Linked DNA regions of Macaca fascicularis. The protein of the gene in region 2 purifies or fractionates together with the protein of the main gene of each other region. This does not show direct contact. Links are inferred from orthologs where the notes say so. Each region holds a gene or a part of one and is shown on either strand. Other genes may lie near its edges.

Region 1 (4,203 bases), on a different chromosome or scaffold from region 2:
TGAGCATTATCTAATTGCAATCAGATACAATAATAAAACTAGTTCTTTTTTTCAGTAGATAAAAAGGAACAAGAAACTGATACTTAGAACAAATCAAACAAATCACGAAGCACAGAATTTTAAAAAGTACCATAGCAGCATTAATATGCAGAATGTATGCTAAGGTTTACAGTATAAATTTCACTATTCTAATGTTAAAATAGGGAACAGGCAGATTATTTCCATACAAAATAATCTCAGAACACAATGAAATTTACCAGTAAAATACATTTAAAGCATGATTGAATATAATTCCACACACTGAAATTTAGTTACACATTTTTTAAAGTTGAAATTTAAGATAAATAATAAATCCTTTAAAGAAGTCTATTAAAATGCAACATAAAATTAAACGATTAAAATTATAAGGCAAGAAAAGAGCACTTTATGGCAAAATCAACCCAATAAAAAACAAAGTTAATATATCTTAAAATGTAAATTCTAGTTTAAGTTGAAAGTAATCACTAATAACTCATTAATGATTACAACTCATTAACTGTGGTAAAATAAACATCACAGGCTCTTGTTATGCAGAAATTTTATTTTTAACACAGCCTATAGAGTTGATCATGATATTATTATAAAATACTATTGATTTTCAAGAAATAATACTAAAACCTACCATTAAGTAGTAGGGAAAACACTGCAACACTTCGTTTTTATGAAAAGCACATGTTAGGACATCTTTCCTCATTTAGTAAGTTACTTTATACAACTAAAGGTCCATTTCAGAAGAATTACTACTTTTACATCGCAGAGGCAAGAACTTGATTAATAACGGTGAGAATCAAGTCCAGTGATAGTCACAGCCTGCTCAAGGAGAGCGTAAAGAAGCTTTCCATACATTTTCACAGGGTAAAAGGGCTGGGGGGACACAGGAAAGATCACTCTGCAGAATGGACCTTGAGTTTCATTTGGCTCTGCCTTCCATTAACAGTCTGGCTTGGGCAGACAAGTCAGTTAACTTTCTGAGTTTTAGTGTCTTCCTCTGTCAAGTGCACTTGGGCTCTTCCGTGTTACCTACAAAGTTAGGAAGAGCTAAAGGCAGCCCTAGTTTTACTTTTTAAAAAATAATGACAGAAAAATACGTAACTTGCTATTCATCAGTGTACTGTTTCCAGAGCTGAATTCCTAAGTCTCTGAAGCATACCCAGCTAGGGTTATACCAGTGAAGATCCAGATACTATAGTCAAAATGTCACTCTCTCCTCTCCCATTATTCCTCCACCTGCTCCTCCCCATCCTGCGTTATCCTCTCTTCTGGTGTGTTTTAAGAAGCAACGCCAGCAAACGGCTGTATCCATTGTAAACTTGAGGATGAAATCGTTTTAAAAGATGCATTTTCAATCAAATGTATCATCTGCTTCGCCAAATTCCTCCCAAATGGCTAAATTTTCATTAATACAATAAAAATGAGGTAACAACTTCGGAAACAGAAATGACCTGGGCCAGTTGTTTTGTTTGTTCTACTTGCTTAAAAAATAAAACGGAAAGATGTATCTATTCCCTCAGGAACATAAATGCATTACCCGCCCATTGAAAAAACAATTCTGCTGGTTCATTTCCCTGACACAACAGCTTCGTTGTCAGGCCCTCTCCAGCCCAGGCTCCAATGTCACCTAGTAATTTTATATTGATCACCTTGGCAGTGCTTGGACTCCAGCAGGCATAGTCCCTGTCTCCCTTACATTCCTCAAAAATAAATTAAATAAGTAAATAAAACTCTACGAAACGCCACCGAACAGAGATTCTGTGACTTAGTAGACAAATCCCACGTCTTCCCGCCCTGTGTTAGGCAGCTGCAAATGTTATTTTTTCATCGCTTGCATAAAATGGAAGCGAAACGTACCAAAACCCTATATTTGAATCCTAGGACAATGAAGCCGACAGGAAGCCACTCTCTCCTCCCCCGGGTTTACTACGGAGCCAGAGCCTCCGCGGGGTGCAGTCGCCTGGCAGGGTGCATGACAGCGCGTCTTCCACGCCCTCCCAACGCGTCCAAAAGGCTCCTCGCCTGACCTCGCCAACGGCCTCACACCTCAAAACCAACCACACAAAAGGGATCGGCCCGCGGAACTGCTCCAATCGGGGAAAAATCCCTTCCCCAGCGACAGCGCAGCCATTCCCTCCAATGCTCCGCCCGCACCCCTCGCAAACTGCTACGGCGGAAGGGGGAGGGCTGCACAAAGCCAGGAGAAAGCTGAAAATGAGTCAATGCACTTAGGGGACGCGGAGGCGGCGGCCAGGGACTCGGGAAAGCCGGGGGGCCGCAGGACTGGAGCTCCCGAGGGCGGCGGGTGGGGGATGGGAAGGGTGGTCCCGTCCAGACCCCGGTCCTGGGCGGGCAGAGGGTGGGGGTGGCGGCGCCGCGCGGAGCATCCGGGAAGCGCCCCCTTCGCGGTCCAGCCCCGCAGCCCCGCACCCCCGCCCCGCGGCGGGCCGCGCCCGAGTCCTCGCTGCAAACCCGAGGAGCAGGACGTGGAAAAGCAGCCGCGGCGGCGGCTGCGGCGCCTACACCGAGCAGCCGATCGCATCACTTACCCCTCACAGTGGCGAGAGGGACCGGACGGGGGAGGCGGGGCGCGTCGCGTCCCGTGAGTCTCTCGCACGCCGTCCTCCCCCCACCTCGTCGTCGTCGCCGCCGCTGTTGTCGTCGCTGCCGCTGCGGTCGAGCTCCGGGGCCCTCAGCTCCGCTGGGCAATAACGTTATTCCACACACGCCCCACACATAGCGGTAACGGCAAAGAGCGGCTGCCTAGTGCGCAGGCGCCTCGGGAAAGGGCGAGGAGCTGGACCCTATCCCCTCCTCCTGCCCAGTTCCAACGATTCCTTACTGCGCAGGCGCCAGACACAGACAATGAAAAGGGGTTGTGCGAGGGTCTCACCCACACGTTTTTCCAGCTTGCCCACTGCGCAGGCGTGCCCCGAAAGACCAGCTAGAACAATGAAGAGGACCTCGGAGTTAGGTGGGACCGCAACCAACAAGGACTACAGTTCCCAGCGGGCAGAGCGCCAACTCCAAGTGGAGGTCCGGTTACTGGGCATGCTAGGAGTTGTAGTGTCGGCCGCCTTTACAATTTAGGCTGTTTGGAGGATTTAGAGCTTCTATTTCTTGAGGATTTATTCGACCGTTTAAAAAAATACCGCAACCGAAGCAGGGTTCAGAGGTTCCTCTCTGCGTCCTTGAGTAACCTAGGGATCAACTGCTGCATATTAGCAAATTCGAAGCGTCAAGGCCTTCAGTGAACCCTTTCTGTCATTTGGGGTGGTCCAGGCGGCAGAAGAGCGGGATGGAGGCGGGACTAAACCAGGCTGGGCTGGAGGAAAAGGGCGGGGCCTGCAAGCCTGTCTCTTGGCAACAGGCTCTGGCAGCCCAACCGTCCGAGCTAGCGCCTGGTGCGCAGTGGTCTCTGGGAATTGTAGTGTAGCTGGAAGGCTCTCAGGATTGTCGAGCTTGGAGGCGCTGAACATGAGGACTACAACTCCCGAGGTCCAACGCGAGGGCCAGTGGGTGGGAAGAGCCCCCACGAGCTTCGTGCGGGATTCTAGGCTCCCCTGTGACAGCCGCGGCAGGAAGCAGGCCGGCGCTCCGCGGCCACAGGCCTGCTGTTTTCGGAAGGGAGAAAGCTGGACATTTCCCCACGTAACTCCCAGCTCTGGGCCTAGAGTGTGTGCATGGCGAAGTCCCCGGAGAACTCTACCCTGGAGGAGATTCTGGGGCAGTATCAACGGAGTCTCCGGGGTGAGTTGCTCCAAACCTCTGTCCCTAGCCCCGAGGTGCCCAGGGCCTAGTGGGCGGGAGCGGACCAGGTGCGTCTCCTAACACCTGGGTCTGCCCCATCCAGGCTACAGAGGAGCAAGATGGATGTTTGCTGTGGTCTTCTGAGGAGGATGAAGTAGTTTGATTTAGTTTTTACAGTTAAGCAACGATGTTTCCTCAGATTCCCTTAGTTACCTGAATCAACTCCTTGATCTTGGCATCCTTCTCAACCAGCGACAGCAGAGACTCTTGGATAGCTCTATGTCATTTTTGCCCAGTTCCCATACTTTGTTGTTTAATCCAATAAAAGTCTGATGCACAGTTTTTACACATTTAAATTATGGCATAGTGGATTGAATGTGATTTATAGGATCCGTGGGGGGAAACACTAATAATTATTTTAAT
Region 2 (3,513 bases):
TACTTTAACCTTGTCCCACTTCTATTTCAGGAAGATACACTTTTTAACACTGTTATGGACATTAATGATAAAAGGCTTGCAAATAAGTGTATACGCTGACAGAGCAGCATAGAGTTATCTGAACAGTGAGGACTATCACTGCAGGGCATTACTGTGCACAGAGCTCTGGTTTGGTTTGACTATGGCAAATCTGCCTTTTCAACAGCCCCTCTAAATAGGGAGTTTCTCCTTTTACATTTTCCTCTTACCAAATAACAGTGTCTTCTCTCCTATCCATTGTCTATGAGGCTGTAAAAGGTATAGTTATACCCTTGGTGTTCTTAATTGCCCATCAAACTGTTCTGCCTTTAAAGTTTTTTTGTTGTAAATGTCAGAACATGCATAGTGACCTTTTTTCTAGCTGGAAGCCTCCAGAGAAGCAGGAGCAGCAGCTCTGAGAAACGTGGCCCGGAGATTATTTGAAAACTACCAAACACAGTCTGAAGAAGTGAGAAAGAAGCATGAGGACGGTAAACACTTACTCCAGGTACCAAACAGGCAGCTTGTCTATGGGAGAACTAGCCCCCACCCTGAGCTGTTCAAGTTCATCTTTCTGGAAGAGTTAGAAATGAAACAAGCAATGGCCAAGTGACTTGGCAAAAGACTTGGGAAAGGAGCGGTGTGCTAGTCTTTTCTGCCAGTTTCCCTCGCCCCTGCTTAGCCCGACACCCCCAGATGTTGCTGAGCTGCTGTGTTGCAGTTGTTGCCCGATCCCCCATGAGCACAGGTGGGAGGGAGGCAGTGCCACCCTGCCTGGAAATCTGGGCTGGCCCTGCGGAGCCTGACTGGTAACCTCTCTTCGGGTTCTGCCATTGACTTGCTAGATGACCCAGACTGAGCCATTCTTCCTGTCTGGATTTGGGTGTCCTTGTCTCTAGAATGAAAGAGTTGGGCTAGACACATGATTTCAAAATTGTTTTGGACTTAGGATACATACTTTGGGTTATAGAAAATAGAAAACAAAATATGTATCTATATGTTTTTAAAAATATATAAAGATATATATTTTTAAAATATATAGTTATATATAATAAATTATATTATATATAAAGTATAATAAATAATATATAATATATAAGTTATATATTTTTATATTTTAATATGTAAATATATAAATTTTAAAAATAAAAATGTACATACACTTATACATGTTCTTTTTTGTTCATTTGTTTTTAAATCTGAAGTATATACACTAGGGCCAATAAAATCTGTCTGAAAAATATATTCTAGAACTGGAGAAGTCAAAAAAGTGTGTGTATGCCTGTATGTGTGTGTTTGCCAAAATTAAAAATATAAAACAGCTAATAGGTAAGTTCACTCATAATAGTTTGGGGCACCCAGGTGTCTGTCAGCTCAGGCTGTAGGAAGGTCCCCAGGGGAGTACAGTAGGAAATTCACTGCCTAGGTGACACCCTTTCATGCAGCAAGCTGTGGTAGTGATGGTTGCATACTCACATGCATGCAGGGTGCAGATGAAGAACATAAGCGGGAAGCTGATGAGGGTGCTATGCTATGGCGGGGGGCTTGTGGGGACAAGAAGCATGCATCCCTGTAATGTGGGCTCGGCACTAGCCTGGAGTGAACTGACTGAAAGGCCCGCTTGGTACTTACAAAGGAAGCCAGACACTTATTTTTCCCTGTGAAATGTCAAGCTTTGTTAAATACACATGCGGAAGAGTAACAAGTTAGTCGACACAGTCCCGCTGTAGCCTATTACCTGCTAGATGGAAACTTCTCTCCTATGATCCCTCAGCACAACCCCTGCTCTATGCCTGTGAAGTAGCACGGTGACACGCTGAGGAGAGTTATTCTGATTTTATGACACTTTCTGATTAAAAATAAAAAGTGTTTTAATTGAACCTGTATGGTTTTTTTTGGTTCTGGATAATAATTGTTGAGAAAAAGTCAACAATGTTGCTTTTGTTAAATTAGCATCTTTCTCTCTTGTATCAATTCAGAAAGTATGCTTTATGGTAACAAATGGAAGCATTCTAGGAAGGATATTTATGTTTATTATAATATTAATTCTTGATTTAATGTTGTTGTAGTCTATCAGGGTTATTTTGAAGGAAACACTGAAATCAAAAAGAGCAATTCTAAGCAAGTATGAATTCTGAATTTTTTTGGCTAATTAGAAAATTGTAGAAAGAGGTAATATGTGTATAGGTTTAATAAAAACAGAGTTTTCACAACACAACTGTTTCTCTGACCATAGGTTAACAAGCTTGAAAAAGAACAGAAATTGAAACAACATGTTGAAAATCTGAATCAAGTTGCTGAAAAACTTGAAGAAAAACACAGTCAAATTACAGAATTGGAGAACCTTGTACAGAGAATGGAAAAGGTACAGCCCTGGAGAATTAGAGGATTTTCTTACTGACAGGGTTAGGATGAGAATGAAATAAAATAATACCAAAATAAATAGGATATTAAATTAAATAAGATAATGTTAAGTGAAAGTATTCTTTACAGTATTTGCCCTTAGGAAGCATTTAATATTAATTTTCCCTTAAACATTTCATATGATCTATACTGTAGTGATTGACTTACCTTTCTGCAAATACTGTAGTCATATCATCATTTGTCACTTTCTAGGAAATACATGACTTAGAAAGGGGAACCAGGTGAGGCTGTGAATGCAACTAATGGAAAAGAGCACAAAGTCCATCTACTAGGAGTATTAATATAGCAGGTCCCTGTAATCACAGCATTTTTATGTATTAGAGTCAGTGCAGTATCCATTTTTGATCACCCAAGTCTACTTTGTGTTTGTAAAAACCTATGGCTGCACTAGGAGAGATACAGTTTACATTAAGAAAAGCCATTCTATAGAAATTGGAACTTTAAGAAGGCACATTTAGAGAAGAGTAATAATAGAATAAAAATTTGAAAATATTTCATGCCATGTTCATTTAACTAGCTAGCATTCCAAATATACACAAAAGGTGAACACGTAAATTTGTGTATGTATGCCTTAGAATTTAGAACTTGGACAAATCAAGGAATATTATTTTTTAATAGCAAAACAAAGAGAAAACTGGCATCTCTGAAACTGAATTGGGGATAGAGAAAAATATAGGCTTTGGATACTAGTAAATATTGCCCAATACATTTTTTATATTTATTGTATTTGCCTCTGTTATTTTTAGCTTTAATTTGTTTTATGAGTCTGCCTGGGTTTATGCCATTTCATAAATATCATTTCAAAAACATCACATTTCAATATTTAGGTTTCTTATCAAAGGAACTTTGATTTGTTTAAAAATATTTCCCAAGAATTTAAAGTTTTATGACATTGTGATTTGGTTGAATTCGTAGTCTTGGTGAAGGACCTATGAGGAAATCATAAAAATTAAATATGCCCATTATCAAGTGGCTCTAAGATAACAGTATTCAGCTGCATGTGTATTATGTGGTAGGTCACTGAGTGTTATACTTTAGCAGAATCACTGGGCTAGAATATCCTTAAGCAAT

What was found.
Region 1: the proteins of CCDC68 (region 2) and CEP170 purify together in Homo sapiens (co-immunoprecipitation; 3 studies listed by BioGRID and IntAct, counting the BioPlex papers as one, with this or other methods). This does not show direct contact. The link is inferred for Macaca fascicularis from reciprocal best matches to the Homo sapiens genes CCDC68 and CEP170.

The regions. Positions count from the first base shown.
Region 1 is NC_088375.1:5,967,322-5,971,524, reverse strand, and holds the start of CEP170 (centrosomal protein of 170 kDa), read right to left. Parts: upstream 2,801-4,203; 5' UTR 2,580-2,800; intron 2,078-2,579; exon of another isoform or gene 1,888-2,077; intron 1-1,887. Other genes in the region: SDCCAG8 (serologically defined colon cancer antigen 8), read left to right, coding at 3,714-3,780.
Region 2 is NC_088392.1:26,040,486-26,043,998, forward strand, and holds part of CCDC68 (coiled-coil domain-containing protein 68), read left to right. Parts: intron 1-400; coding exon 401-526; intron 527-2,254; coding exon 2,255-2,383; intron 2,384-3,513. UniProt on the Homo sapiens protein: Centriolar protein required for centriole subdistal appendage assembly and microtubule anchoring in interphase cells. Together with CCDC120, cooperate with subdistal appendage components ODF2, NIN and CEP170 for hierarchical subdistal appendage assembly.